Linked DNA regions of Pelodiscus sinensis. The protein of the gene in region 1 purifies or fractionates together with the protein of each later gene. This does not show direct contact. Links are inferred from orthologs where the notes say so. Each region holds a gene or a part of one and is shown in the gene's direction. Other genes may lie near its edges. The genes, in order: CPSF2 and FIP1L1.

The links.
Region 2: the proteins of CPSF2 (region 1) and FIP1L1 purify together in Homo sapiens (affinity purification with mass spectrometry; 7 studies listed by BioGRID and IntAct, with this or other methods). This does not show direct contact. The link is inferred for Pelodiscus sinensis from reciprocal best matches to the Homo sapiens genes CPSF2 and FIP1L1.

Annotation. Positions count from the first base shown.
Region 1 is NC_134714.1:30,841,193-30,849,029, reverse strand, and holds the start of CPSF2 (cleavage and polyadenylation specificity factor subunit 2), read left to right. Parts: upstream 1-4,572; 5' UTR 4,573-4,727; intron 4,728-7,837. Other genes in the region: NDUFB1 (NADH dehydrogenase [ubiquinone] 1 beta subcomplex subunit 1), read right to left, coding at 1,100-1,239. UniProt on the Homo sapiens protein: Component of the cleavage and polyadenylation specificity factor (CPSF) complex that play a key role in pre-mRNA 3'-end formation, recognizing the AAUAAA signal sequence and interacting with poly(A) polymerase and other factors to bring about cleavage and poly(A) addition.
Region 2 is NC_134715.1:86,076,661-86,084,539, reverse strand, and holds the start of FIP1L1 (pre-mRNA 3'-end-processing factor FIP1), read left to right. Parts: upstream 1-4,761; 5' UTR 4,762-4,937; coding exon 4,938-5,019; intron 5,020-6,611; coding exon 6,612-6,651; intron 6,652-7,879.

The DNA of each region.
Region 1 (7,837 bases):
GTGTTTGGGGGGGAGGGGGACGAGAGAAAAAAAAAGAATACAATTAAATAATGCACCGGACTTTTGCAGACTAATCTACAGAGACTTAGCCAGGGTGTTATGCACCCAGGGGCAAAAGAAAAATTTGTGCCGCCACTGCCCTCTCCTGCCCCCCCCCCCCCAACTGGCCCAACCCTGGGAGGAGGGGAAAGCTTGTACCACATCTTCTCCTGCCAGTGGAGATGGAGGAGGGTTGGGCTGGGAGCAGAGAGAAGGCTCTAGCTGCCACCAGCAGGCAGAGGAGCAGGCAAGCCAAGGGATAACAGGGGGAGCAGAGGAGGACTAAACTGGTGACTCCCCTAGCATGGAGAGATTCAATGAACTGGTACTGTTCAGCTTAAAAAAAAAGACAGCTAAGGGGGGAAATGATAAATGTTTATATAAAATTATTACTGGTATGGAAAAAAAGGGGATAGGGAAGTTTATTTTACCCCCTCACATAACACAAGAACCATGTGTTATGAAATTAGTAGGCAACAGGTTTAAAGCAAGATAAGAAAGTGTTTCCTTACACAATGCATTGTTACCCTGTAAAACTCTTTGACAGAAGATATTGCGAAGGCCACAAGTATAACTTGAGTTGAGAAAAGAACTGGATTAAGTTAATGGAAAATAGGTTCTTCAGTAGCTATTTGCCAAGATGGTCAGGGAGCCAACCCCATGCTTAGGGAGTCCTTACACCACTGACCACCAGAAGTTGGGACTGGAAAACTTGATCACTGCCCTTTTCTGTTCATTCCCTCTATGGCAATATGCCATGTGGCAGTGGCCACTTTCAGAAGACAGGATACTGGGCTAGGTGGACCACTGGTCTAACCTAGTATGGCCATTCTTATGACACTAATATGGGGACGGATTGCAAGTTTGCTTAATTCCAGCTAATTTAAATAGGAGTTTAGAACACTGAGCACCTCTCAAGGAGCTGAACATTTTGCAGGACAGAAGGTATCGGACAAAATCCTTTTTCCTTTGTAGCCAACATAAAAACATGACATAATTCATGTCAACAAGAAAGCAGAATTAAGCAGATTATTTTGTTAAAAAGTTGTGTCAAACTAACCTTTTAAATAAAAGGCTCTTGTTTCTAAAAGTTGACAGTTTTTCATCATTCCTTCTGTCCAGATAGCAACCAATAACAAATCCCATTGGACACAAAATGTGGACCCAATGTTCACGCACAAAGTTGACAACATTCACCATGACTGCTAAAAGGAAAAAAAAAAAAAGTTGGAGGGTTCAGGAGGAGGCAGAAAAACCTGAGCACAGAAATGACTGCCTATACCTATAATATACCTATCTATAATGGGCTTTTTTCAATACAATCCTGAATATTTGAAGGCCAGCACACATTCTAACAAGAGAAAAATGCTGCTCCCAAATCCACATGAGATTCCTGGATACAGGACTCTATATTGAATTTGCAGTACAGAGTAGAATTTTGCCCTAAATGAACAGGAATGTAACCCAAATAATAAACTATTTTAAGGTGGTCAAAGGTTGAATATTTGCATTGATTATGGAAAATGCCCTCACCAGAAATCATTGTAACAATGCACCAGTTACCAGGAGTCTGTCTTGCTGTAAAACAGAATACAGTAAACTTCCAATAATCCGGCACCTTTAGGACCCATGGGGTGCCGGATTATCAAATATGTCGGACTATCAGAAGGGGGAGCTATGAGAGGTCTGGAGTGGGGTGGGGGAGAATATGGGGCGCGGCGCTGCAGGACCAACCCAGCAGCACCCCAGCTGCTCTGCCCCAGACTTCCCCAAATCAGCCGCTGCTGAAACTGACTAGCGGCTAACTCAGGGAAGCCCGGGACAGAGCTGCTCCAATTGTCCAGCTGCCTGGAGCACTTCCAGGTTCCAGGTGGTGCCAGACTATCAGGAGTGCCGGACCACTAGATGCCGGACAACTAGAGTTTTACTGTACTTGTTTTCAACAATCATTTATAAAGCGGGACTTTCTATAGCATTCATCTATAAATCTCGATGCAATTACTGTAAGGTGCTTGCACAACTAGTTAAAAGGCCATCCTCAAAGAGTAATTATCAATAATCTACTGTCAAACTGGAAAGATCTATCAGATAGGGACTCTCATAGGTCTGGTACTAGTTAATGTTTTCATTAATGACTTGAATGATAGAGTGGAGAGATGCTTATAAAATTTGCACATGACACCAAGCAATCAGGGGCAGACCGGTAATATTTTACTTACATATATATCATTTGCATGATGAATATACAAATACACAAATGAAATGTTGCCAGTCTGCCTAACGTTTCTTAATGGGTTTGCTGGTCCCCGGTATCAAAAAGGTTGGAAACCACTGTTTTAGGGGATCACAAATTGAATACGAATCAACACTATGATACTGTCCTGAAAAAGGCAACTGCCATTCTGGTATATGATCACAGGGGTATAAGCCATGGGAAGTAATTCTGCTCTACATGGCTCTGGTGCGGCCTCAACTGGAAATACGGTGTCCAGTTTTAGGCATTACTGTTAAAAAAGATGTGATCAAATTGGAGAAAAAAATCCAAACATCTTTCTGGGATATATTAACAGGAGTGTTGTAAACAAGGCACGAGAAACAATTTTTCTACTCTACTCTGCTGATTAGGCCTTAACTCTAGTACTGTGTCCAATTTTGGGTGCCAGACAAGGGTACCATTTCGAGTGCATGGGAGGGGCAGTAGCCGTGCACTCCGGGACGCAGCTAGCTTTTCATCCCTTTCCCCAGATGCTAAGGGAGTGAGAAGAAACTGCTTGTGTTCCATGAAGGGAGCTCACCAGCCAGGTGTGAGAGGAATGCAAGCACTTTCCCCTCACTCCCTTAGCATCCAGGGAACGGAATGAAAAGCTAGCCAGTCTGTTGCCAGATTTTAGGAAAGATGTGGATAAACTGAAGGTGGTCCATGGAAGAGCAAAAAATGATTAGATGTCTAGAAAACATGACCTATGAAGACAGATTTGGAAAGAATTGGGTTTTAGTCTGGAAATGAGAAAAATGGGGGAGGGGAACACAATACCTAAAAGCTTGTTACAAAGAGTAAGGAAATAATTTTTTCTCCTTAACCCCGGAGAACAAGACAAGCAGCAAGGGGCTTACATTGCAGCAAGAGAGGTTTAGGTTGGATATTAAAAAAGCAAGGCACACTTGCCAGCAATGCAGCAGCTCTGAGTGACATGGGGGCTACCATAGCACCTAGGCAGCCTGCCTGAATTCCCCACTGGGCTGGGAGTCAGCTATGAGAAGCATGGACTGTTTAGGACCACACCCTGCACATCCTTCTACATCCCAACCCCAGGTCAGAAACTCCCCCAACTGGGCCCAAACTCCCTCCCAGACCCTGCAGCCCAATCCCCTTCCCAGAGCTCCCTCCTCAACTCTCTTCATTAATATAACAGAAAAGTGCAGCCTGTGAACACTTAAAATATTCTTAGAATTACCCCCCTGCAAAAATTATTGACCATCCCTGGCCTACTAGGAGCTTAAAATCATTGAACTAGTCCTTGCATAATACAGATTTTAAACAATAAAAACCAAGAGTATTAATCAGGCACCTTAAAAGCAGCAGAACACCCAAACGTTTTTTAAATATTACAGTAAATGCATGTAGGGACATAAATAAAACTCAGGTCTGAAAGGCTTTTTATGTTTAGTTTCACAAGCCTAGCCACCCCTCGATTTGGGATGTATTTGAGGAGTAAAACACCACATACGCACAGCGAAACTGAACACTGCTTCTAAGTAGAGCTTTGCATGGATACAAAAATAGAATCCACAGCCATGCCTGCACCAGCACAAATGATCCACGGATATGCACAGCTGCGGATACCCACGGACTTCTAACCAAGCTGCAGGATTCTAGATATAAATTTGCTATTCGCAAAAGTAAGCTACAAATATCCGCTTATGGCTAGAAAGGGGATCTCTGTGGATTTGCAGGGCCCTTACTGGTAAGCTCTTCAGGGGAGTGCCTGTGTCAGGTAAGGCCCTATAGCACCCCGCACGGCCCCCGACTGCTCCCAGTAGCGTTACGGTGTTAGTGCCCCACGAGCTGAGGGAGAAAGCCACTCTGCAGGGCCCTGTATTTCTAAAGTACCCCCCCCCGCCGAGCGCCCCCCGGCTCTCCACACGGTGGATCCCTATTTCCAGCCGAGAAGGCACCAGCAGAGCTGCCAGCTGTAGGCAATCGTGCAACCCGCGGGCTAGCCTCGTCCACGCACTCCGCCAGGCCCCGCTCACCTGCCGCCGGGCCTAGGCCTACCGCCGCCTGCGCCGAGCCCAAGGGCAACTGGGGCCACTCGACTGGCTATCGGAAAAGCCGCCAGCCTACTGGGTCAGACCATTAGCTGTAGAGGGGAGGTAGCTTCCCCCGGTCGCTTTTAGTTCAGCGTTCTACCCACCACCCTTCTGAGACTCTGTGGCCCAGCCCGCATAATAATGGGGCTGCGAAACCTCAAGGCCCGAGGGTCCTGAGATGTACTCCCCCGGGTTCAGAATGGGACCGTCCATTCCCCTTTCGCTTTCTCCAGCTGCCGAAGCCGCTCCTCCTCTCCCTCCCCCCGTTTTCAAAATGGCGGCAGCTGTGGAAGACACGGGGTCTGGCTGAGGAGGAGGCCGGGTCTCCTCTGCGCTGTCCCCGCTGCGTTTAGGGGCGGCGTAGGGCTGGTGGTGAGGTAGGTGCCAGGCTGCCTCGCTTCGCTTCCCCCCCGTTCCCGGGCGGAGCCGGTGACAGGGCGCTGCATGCTGGCCCCTGACAAGCTAGAACGCTTCCCTCCCCCCCTCGGCCCAGGCTGATGTGGGTGGGGGAGTTTATTGCGGCGCCCCGGCATCCGCGACAGCGCGGGGAAGACGCTTCCCTGCCGCCGGGATGTCTTGGGATCGGAACTCGCCTCCATGAGCGGAGGGGGCGAGACCCTCCCCACCGCGAGCGAGGGGGGCACCTACCGAAGGAGGTGGAGATGAGAGTCTGCTCTCTGAGTGCGCGCTGGGAACAGATTCCATTGAATGAAGGACCCTGGCTATAGGGGTCTTGTGAAGTGTTCTAGCTCATCCCCTCCCCCTCAGGCGAGTTAACCTAAACCATCCCTGCCTGCTTTTAAATGCCTCCAAAGGTGGGTGTTATAGAAGTTCCCTGGGATGAGAACTTAATTACTGTTCCAGTTAGAAAAACATTCTGATATCTAACCCTGTTCTCTCTTGCTGCAGATTAAGCCCTTTACTTATTGTCCTGCCTTCAGTGGACATGGAAACCAGTTGAACCTAATCCTGTTAATAACAGCCTTTAACATATTGGAAGACTATTTTCAGGTCCCCTCTGTTTCCTTTTCTCAAGACTAATCATGTCCAATCTTTAGACAAAGGAGACCTAACTCATTCTCTGCTTTCATTAGTATTTTGTAAGTTATATTAAAAAACCCTCCTGCATGATTGTAATGATAGCTAGGAAATGATGCATTTATTAATCTAAGGAATAGGAGGGAAGACAGCAGAATAAAGAAAATGGATTTCAAGAAGGCAGACTTCAGCAAACTTGAGTTGGTAGGTAAGATCCCATTGGCAGCAAGTGTAAGGCTAGGTCTATACAAGACTCAGAAGGTTAGCTTAAAGTGTGCAACTCTAGCTACGTAAATAACATAGTTAGAGTTGACATACTGTAACCTTATTTTGGCGCTGCTTCTGCAGTGAGAGATCAATGGGAACAAATGCTCCTGTTGAGACTTCCCTTACTCAGGAGCGGTCTGAGGCCGGCTGCGGCAGCTGGCGCCCCAGACAGAGCATGCGATCGGTGCCCCCGCCTGCAGGGCAGTTAATGGACTAACATCATTGGTGGGCGCCCGTGACGTCATCAGCGGGCACCCCTGCCCTTACTCCTCATGAATCAAAAAGTACCTGTATCAACCAGGGATGCCTTCAGCGTTCGATTTAGCGAGTCCTTACTAGACCTGCTAAATCAAATGCCAGAAGATTACTGGCACAGTAAGTTTAGATGTGGCCTAGGAGAAAACAGTTTGAAAGAGTGAGCAGTTTTTTAGAGAGAACTTATTAGGGGTGTGAGCAAGCTATCTCACTGCGGAAAAAATAGGAATTATAGCCGAAGACCACTTTGATCCAACCAGGAAATTTTCAATGATCCGAAACTCAAAAAAGAATCCTATAGAAAGGAAAATTAGATCAAATTATAAAGACGGAGTATTAAAAAACAAAAAGCACCACAAGCAGGAAGGGACACAATTAAGCTAAGCCACAATGAGATCAAACTAGCTAGTGGCATAAAGAAGAAGAAAATGTTCTAGAAATGCATTAGATGCAAGAGGAAGACCACGGACAGGATAGGCCTGTTACACAATAGGGAGAACTAATAACAGAAAATGTAAACATGGCTGATGTGCTAAATGATTTTTTTCATTTTTCACCAAAAAGATTAGTGGCAATTGGACATCTAACATAGTGACTGACATGAAAATGAAGTAGGAGTTGAGGCTGAGCTAGAGAAAGAACAAGTTAAAAATTTCTTAGACAAGTTAGATAACTTCAAGTCAGCAAGGCCTGGTGGAAATATATCTTGAAATACTCAAGATGCTGACTGAAGAAATATCTGAGCCAATAGCTATTATTTTTGAAAATTTATGGAAGGCTGGAGAGATTCTGGAGGACTGAGAGCAAATATAGTGCTAGACTCTAGAAACCCGATTAAGAATAGCCCTGGAGGATTACAGACCTGTCAGTTTAACTTCAGTACCCAGAACCTAGAAGATAATAAGGTAATAATTAACAGTCAACATGGATTTGACAAAAACAAATCCTGACAAACCAACCTAATAGCTTTCTTTGACAGTGTAACAAGGTTTCTGCATGGGGTGAAACAATTAATGGTTTACTCATGGAGGAATTCTGCATCACTCTGTGCACAAAGTATTCATGGATCCCTCAAATTTTTTTGCTTCCCTGTAAAAAAATATGACTTCTGATGGGGAAACAAAGGGAAGTTGCAAGAGTGGCCACTTGTCATTTCAGGTGCCTGGGACAGAGAAAAATAACTATTTGGGATTAGAGAGGGGGAGGGAATGGGGGGATGAGGGTGCCCCACCCAGTCAACCCTATCCTTTGCTAATATCAGCTGCTACTTCTGGCTGGGCATCTTCTTCCCTTGCAAGGTGTGACTGGAGCTGGTTAGACACACCCCCAGAAAACGTCCCTGACTGTACGAAACTCTGCACCCCCACTTTCTGCCCCCAACATTCTTTAGGCATTAGAGGAAAGTTTGTTTTATGGGGAGCTGATCTCCCCCATCTGCCCAACACCCATGGCTGTGTCTAGACTGGCCAGTTTTTCTGGAAAATCAGTCGCTTTTCTGGAAAAACTTGCCAGCTGTCTACAGTGGCCGCTTGAATTTCCGCAAAAGCACTGACTTCCTACTGTAAGAAATCAGTGCTTTTTGCGGAAATACTATGCTGCTCCCGTTCGGGCAAAAGTCCCTTTTGCGCAAAAGGGGCAGTGTAGACAGCTGAGATTTGATTTCTGCAAAAAAGCCCCGATTGCGAAAATGGCGTTCGGGGCTTTTTTGCGGAAAAGCACGTCTAGATTGGCCACGGACGCTTTTACGCAAAAAGTGCTTTTGCGGAAAAGCATCCGTGTCAATCTAGACGCTCTTTTCCGAAAATGCTTTTAACGGAAAACTTTTCCATTAAAAGCATTTCTGGAAAATTATGCCAGTGTAGACGTAGCCCATGTATCCAGACTTCCCCATATCTAGCTCTTCTGCCAAGCCTTACCTGCCACAATT
Region 2 (7,879 bases), on another chromosome or scaffold:
TGTAGATGCAACACAAAGTGAGGAGCAGATCACAGTGTCTGAGGAATAGACCATAATGGCGAGGAGGAGGAGCCTCTTGTCCCTAAAACTGGGGACTGAGTCAGGATAGGAGGAGGTCAGGGTCAGGCTGCCACCAGGTGACAGATTGCAGGCCACTAACAGAAATCAGAGTCAGAAGCCAGAGACTAAGTTTTACAGTGAGGAAAGGTCTGGAGCAAAAGCAAGCAAATAGTCTGTGTCATTGCATGGACAACTACATATGATGGTTTCCTGCTTTCTATAGCAGCGCAGGCCAGTCAGTAGTCTATGGGGGGTTATCACTGAGGTCCTGCTGGATGGTACTTCCTACGTTGTTTAGCTCAGCAGTTTCAGCCACCAGTCTACAGCCCAGTGTTGGGCCACAAACTGCTGGCTGATGGGCCGCAGTGGCTCAGGGGGCCAGTGCTGAGGTACACTGCCCAACGTCTCCTCTCTTGTCGTGGCTGTTGGGAAAGGAATACCCTACCCCGCCTTTCAGCCAGCCAACACCCGGCAGGGGTGAGAGCTCCTCCTGGATGCAGATGAGTGGTTTGCTGCGCAGAAGGAGGACTGTGCAGAGCCCTGCATGGCAGCCTTAGAACAGCGGTGACCTGGGCAGCAGTGCTCAGCTGGGAGGCATGCAGGGTGGAGCAGGCAGTGGGAACTCTGGGGGCGGGGCTGGTGTTGGGGGCTCTAAGGGGCAGAAGGCTGGCACTGGGCAGCTCTCGGGCATCCAAGGTGGGGAGCTGGCACTGGGGGGCTCTGAGTGCAGGGATAGTAGTGGAGGAGCTACAGGGGCAGGGCTGGCACTGGGGAGCTCTGGGGACAGGGCTGACATTGGGGACTGGGGGCTGGCACGGGGGTATTCTGAGGGGTTGAGTGCAGTGGGGCTCTAGAAACAGGAGGCTGGCACTGGAGAGGTCTGGTGGTGGTGGTGCTCTAAGGGGCGGGGGCTGGCACTGGGGAGCTCTGAGGGTGGGAGGCTGGCACTGGGAAAGTTGGGTGCAGGGGACTCTGGGATCAGTGGCTAGTGCTTGGGGGTATTGGAGGAGTGGGGGGGCTTTAGGGGTTGGGGCTGGCACTGGAGGGCTCAGGGGTTGGGGTATACCCCAGCCCCGGCCCCCAAGCCTCCATGAACAGCCAGTTTCAGCTGCAGCAGCCACCTGCTGATAACATTTTATTTGCATATATATTATTTGCGTAATGGGTGTGCATGTATGCAAATAAAATTTTACCGGTCCACACAAAGTTTGTCAGTGTGTTTGCCGGTCCGCGGTTTAAAAAGGTTTAGCGTCACAGACTTCTCTACTGGCAACCTGGCCCTTCCAATAGTGATGTGGAAGCATAGGCAGCCTAGAATACCCCTGCTCTAGGTTCTTGCCCTCCCCTCAGGTTATAATAGGTATATTAACAAGAGTGTTATATGTAAGACATGAGAGATAATTTTCCTGCTCTGTTTTGCCTCAACAACTGGAATACTGTATCCAGTTCTGTGTGCCACATTTTAAGAAAATATGTGGACAAATTGGAAAGAGTCTAGAGAAGAGCAACAAAAAACAGTGAAAGATTTGGAATAGCGGACTTGTGAAGAAAGCTTAAAATATCTGTGCATGTTTAGTCTTGAGAGAAGAAGACTGAGGTGAGACCTGATAACAGGTTTCAGATATGCAAGGCGGTATAAAGAAGATTGTGTTTAATTGTTCTCATTGTCTGGTGAAGATAGGACAAGTAGTAATGGGCCTGACAATAAGCACTTCTCATCTTTTGTGGTGATAAATGGCAGGAAAATGTTCTTTTAATTCCAGCTCTGGTGCATCTCCCTCCAACTCCCTCTCTCATCCATTTTTTTTCAATTCTTGCCTCTGATTTGTACCTTTATTTAATCTCAGCTCTGATTTATTATTTTAACCTACTAAATGTGGTATAAACTTTTAGAGTACTCAACAATATGAAAAATAAAATTAGTCTGGAAAATATTTGATGTGAACAATTAATGCCAAAAGAATTGGTGATGGTTGATCACCAGGCTACTGGGCTTAAAACCATAGGCTACGTCTAGACTGGCCCCTTCTTCGGAAGAGGAATGCTAATTTCTAACTTTGGAATAGGGAAATCCGCAGGGGATTTAAATACCCCCCACGGGATTTAAATAAACATGGCCGCCGCTTTTTTTCCGGCTCGGGGAAAAGCCGGAAAAGAGCGTCCAGACTGGCACGATCCTCCGGAATAAAGCCCTTTTCCGGAGGATCTCTTATTCTAAGAGGGCTTTATTCCGGAGGATCGCGCCAGTCTGGACGCTCTTTTCCGGCTTTTCCCCGAGCCGGAAAAAAAGCGGCGGCCATGTTTATTTAAATCCCACGGGGGGTATTTAAATCCCCCGCGGATTTCCCTATTCCAACCTGAAGTAGGAATAAGAGATCCTCTGGAAAAGGGCTTTATTCCGGAGGATTGCGCCAGTCTGGATGCTCTTTTCCGGCTTTTCCCCGAGCTGGAAAAAAAGCGGCGGCCATGTTTATTTAAATCCCGCGGGGGGTATTTAAATCCCCCGCGGATTTCCCTATTCCAAAGTTAGAAATTAGCATGCCTCTTCCGAAGAAGGGGCCAGTGTAGACACAGCCATACAGAATTAATTTGTTGTCAGGTTGAATGATCTTGGAGACTATAATTCTTAAAGTTTTTGCTTTGATACATCACAGATAAAGGCTGAAAAAACTGTTTTTGTTTTCTTCTGCTTTTCCAGTGTTATGTTTTTATTTTTTAATGTTTTAACTTCCGTTTTCATGATTATGCAAAGTCAAAGCAATGGAAGTTCTGTCAGGAAATCATGAGGGTTTTGTTTTGTTTTTATATATACTGTACAGCACAAAGTGCAACTATTTCTCTTTATGGGCCAGTTTGGAAGAAAGACCACTAGCCAAAATCAGATTAACCAGTTTAAATCCAGAATGATTACATTAATGAAGAATTAATAATTTACTTGGCAGTTCTCTGTAGTCTGATTTAATTATTGCCTGTGTAAATATTTAAGCATTCCTGAAATTAAAATAATCAGTATTCATCTGAAGACTTGCTTTAAACTTGAAAACTTTTAAGTTTTAAAAAATGATGTAAAAGTAGTTTCACATTCTGCAATTACCTTTGAGTCCTGTCAATTTTTGTAGGTTTAGTTATGAGGGTCTTTCCGTAACAAAGATGGTAGCCATTGCCTATCGTTTTTAAAATGTGCAGTGGGGAAAGTAAGGGTGTATGCCCTGGTGTGAAGCTCTGGCAAGAGCTGACTGAGCTGTGGCAAAAACTATTTAAAGAGCTGGCAAGATCCCAGGTTGCAATAGGACAGTACCTGTAAGAAATTTTTAAGTAACTTTCACTTTTGAAAAAGAGATTGAAGAAATGTTGTCTTTAAGAAAAATCATCTCACTTTCCATGCTAACTGGACAGCCAGAAGGCATGGCAATACAGGGTGCAGTAGAAATGCCTAAAGGCAGGGCAGGATTAAGGCATGGGCTGGCTGGATTAAGGCAAGGGCTGGCCAGGCTGCTGCCCAGGGCGCCAACCTATGGGGAGGCAACTGATGGCAGCTGTAAAGGGGCACGCAGCACCCCTTACAGCTGCCATCAGGTGCCGCGCACCTGGATCCTGGACTGCAGCAGCTCCCAGCGGCCACCCTGCAGTGGCCGCCTGGGGCGGGGGGCCACGTTAAACCCCGCAGCGCCAGCCAGCAGCGCCCTTTCCCCCTGCGGCTGTGGGGCCCTACACAGCCAGACTCGGCCCACCTCTGGCGGTGCGCCAATGGCGATAGCCGGGCTGGGCATGTGTGTCCTGTTGCCGCCAGCTCCGCATGCCCTCCCCCACATGCTGGGCGGGGGCAGGGCCGTGCATGTGCCCTCCCCCAACCTGGGGCACAATTAAACTGTCTGCCCGGGGAACCGGAATGGCTCGGGCCGGCCCTGCTAAAGGGAATAGGGGAGGGAGACTGACAGAAAAGGAGAAGGTTAGGATGCCACGCCTGTAGGGGAGGGAAAATATGGGAGAGGAGCAGGTGAAAAACAAGGAGGTAAGGAATGGATCCTTGCTGCAGTACAGAGAGATGCAGAATAATGCTATGTGAGTGGGTAGGAAGGGATAAAACAGCAGCTCCTACCCTCTCCTCCAAAAGTAAGAGAGGCTAATTTCTCCTCTTGCCAGTAGCCTGGGGAAGGCTTCCCTTAATGTGGGCCTGTTGGCTGGAGGATTGTCCAAGCTGCATTGAGCATGCTCCTGTTGGGTAAGGGCTCACTCCCCTGCAGACTGAAACACCTGCCCCCTTGCAGTCTTCCCAGTGATTTGTTTTAATCGACTTTTTATTGTTGGGCTGAGGATTTTTATAACTTTGGTGGCAGGCAAGTGTCCGTTTCCCGCCTTCCCTGACTTTGGGAAGCCCAATTTCTGTGGCACTAGTTAGCAGGGCTGGGTTAGCAAAGGGCCCCACGGGGGGTGGGCCTGAGACAGGCCGCTGTAAAATCTACATTACGCCGGCTTGTATCTTTCTCCCCCAGGGTGGCCCCTCGGAGAGGCTCCTCTTCCCACTGTGCCGCACGGCGAAGGCCCAGAACCTCTTACTCCTTCCCGCACTGTGCCCAGCTGGGAGAGGGGGCAGGCCCCCTTTCCCCGCCCCAACCCCCAGCAGTGTCCTACTCCTCCCCGCAGTCCCAGTGCTCCTCGGGCTGCGGGGCTCGGCCCTTTCCTGTGTGTGTGTCAGTCATTCAGCGGGGGGAGGGGAAGCGCTGAGCGAGCGGCGGCGGCGGCTCCTCGGCGGGGGAGGGCGGGCGCTGCACACACCGGCCGCCGCCTCCTCCTCCGCCGCTCGGCTGCCGCGGGGAGCTGCGCGCGCGGTCTGTGCCTGTGCAGCGCAGGGCCGGCGCGGTCCAGGGCAGGCGGCCATGTCGGCCGGCGAGGTGGAGCGGCTGGCGGCGGATCTGAGCGGGGCCGGCGGGGATGAGGAGGAGGAGTGGCTCTATGGCGGTACGCACCTTCCTAGGCCCCGGCCTGGCCCGGCCGCCTCGCGCTCCCTGGCGCCGCGGGACGGGGAAAGGCCGGAAGGGGAGCGCTAGGCCCTAGCGTGCGCAGCAGCCGCTCTCCCATCGCCTAGGCCGATCCCTGGGCCGGGCCGGGCCGGGCCTGCTGCCTCTGACCGCGTGCCCATCTCCCGCAGGAGCCGCGCCGGGGGCTGCCGGCCTGGCCTGTTGGTGCGGGAACCACCTGCGCTAGTGTGGCCGGACTGGAGGCTGGTCACGGCGCACCCCCGGGCTCCAGTGTGACTGCAGTGATCCCCAGGCCTGCGGCTCTCTGCTCCCCGCCCCATCTCTGCCTGGTCCCCTCCTTTCGCTTGACCTCCTGGGTTTTCAGCTCTCCATTATCCGGCCACCCCCCTTCCGCCATAAGCCTCAGGCAGCTCCTGGCTGGTTATGTGCTCCCACAAATGCGGCCCCCTTTAAAAGGTCCATGAGTCTTTCTTTCTGGCCTTGTAAATTTTCCATCACCATCCTATTTAGCTCCTACCTAGATCTAGAGGTGAGAGACTCCTTTGACATACCAAAGATTTAAAATGTGTACTTCCAAGTGTAATTTCCCATTCTGTAGAATTACTTAGAACTAGGAGGAAAAGGCTGATTGGACACTGGGTTCCTATAGTGCTTCAGTCTATAATTTGTACCAAATCCACTCGTTTTGGACTGGAAGGTTAGAATATAATGACTGATCAAAAGCATGTTTGTGTATCAAACGGTATTTTATTTTCTGACAGGTAGTAGTGTCTCCAACACTTTGAGAAAATTCTGAGATGTGATTGATACGGAATACTGAGTTTACATTTAGGGCTGCAGGATTGGCCCCTCATTCATCTCATTAGTTCCACCAAAATCCATGATTGCTTTCATGAATAAAGATAGCAAGATCAACACCTTGTTTTCTGTTATGCCTTTCATATAAATTATCTTAAAATTATTTTAATATTCTTAGGCCCTTAAATTTTCACATACATAATCACATTTGAAATACTGTAATCTTTCTCTTTTGTTTGTTTGAAACTATGGAGCTTCACTTTGGTGGGTATGTCTAATCTGCCACTGGAGTGAGTTTCCAGCCTGGGTAGACACTCTCATTAGTGGGGCTTCAGCTAGCATGCTGACATTAGGAATATGAACTGGTCTTGTGAGTCTAAGATGCAGTCTAAGCTACACCATCAATACTTCTGTTTTAAGAGTGCTACCTTGCACCTCACTAGGATGAATTTGTTTTCCCTGAGTGGGCCATTGTTGCCAGCTGCAGTGTAGACATACCAATTTTGTACCCTAACCACATTACTGTTGCCTGCAAACTAAAACACTGATACTGTAAGGGTCTATTTGTAGAGCTCTGTTGGCTTAAGGGGGTGCTGTCTTGGGTCAGATGTCTTAGCACATATATCTAACTCAGGACTGGAGAGCCCACAAATTTATTCAGGGATCATTGCTTAAATAAAGTTATTTGGTATAGGATAAGCTTGCAATAAACTGCTATTTTTGACTCTAGGGTTTCTCATACATAATATTTAAATAATGTTTTTCTTTTGACAGATGAAAATGAACCAGAGAGACCAGAGGAACAAAAAGCTAGGTGGGTGTCTTGATAAGTTGTGAATCTGGTAATGTAGTTGTGCAAAAAGTGTATTAAAACATAATTTCACACCTTTTTCTTGCGGTTACATCGTTGGGAGTTGGACACCTAAATGGTTACCTTTGAATATCTCCTTCATATCATTTGTGTGATCTGCCAGTTCAACTGTTTAAATAGCTTTCTCTAGAATTGGGGCTTTTCAATCTTACATATGAAAATCCATTTTTAATTAAGTGCAGCATTATCCATATCATTGTAAAAAAGGACTAAGATTTCTTTAATGTAGTTTTTGTTACATTGGGAGCCCACTTCATTCACACTTAAATGTATTATTATAGGACTTAGGGATATCTGCTGTAATTTGCAGTACAGGCAGTCCCTGGGTTAGGTCAATCCGACTTAAGTCGGACCCCTAGTTACAAACGGGGGGAAGGGGCGCAGCTAGTGCGGGGTGCCTCCCCCACTGTCGCCGCCTCCGGCGGCGCAGGTGGCGCTTCCCCCCAGCAGACCAGTGAGACGTGGAGCTAGTGCCCCCCCCAGCAGACCAGGGAGACGTGGAGCGGCTTTTCTCGCCGCGGAGGACGCAGGCAGCGGGACAGCGGCGCATCTCGGTCCCGCTGCCCGCGTCCTCCGTGGCGAGAAAAGCCGCTCCGTGTCTCTCTGGTCTGCTGGGGGGGGGCGCAGCTAGTGTGCCCCCTCCCCCCCAGCAGACCAGGCTTTTCTCGCCGCGGAGAACGTGGGCGGTGGGACCGCCGAGACGCGCCGCGGTCCCGCCGCCCACGTCCTCCGCGGCGAGAAAAGCCGCTCCGCGTCTCCCTGGTCTGCTGGGGGGAGGGAGGGGCGCAGCTAGTGCCTCCCCCCCTCAGCAGACCAGGCTTTTCTCGCCGCTGGTCAGTTTCAGCAGCGACTGAATCAGGACGCCTGGGGTAGAGCAGCTGGGGTGCTGCCGGGTTGCTCCCCGCAGTGCCGAGGTGTGGCGCTGCGGGGACCTACCTGGCAGCGCCCCAGCTGCTCTGTCCCAGGCATCCAGATTCTGCCACTGCTGAATCTGACCAGCGGCTGACTACAGGAAGCTTGAGGCAGAGCTGCTCTGCCCTGGGCTTCCTGGAATCAGCCACTGATCAGTTTCAGCAGCAGCTGACTTGGGGACACCTGGGGTAGAGCAGCTGGGGTGCTGCCGGGTTGGTCCCTCAGCGCCACTCCTCGGCACTACTGGACCTACCTGGCA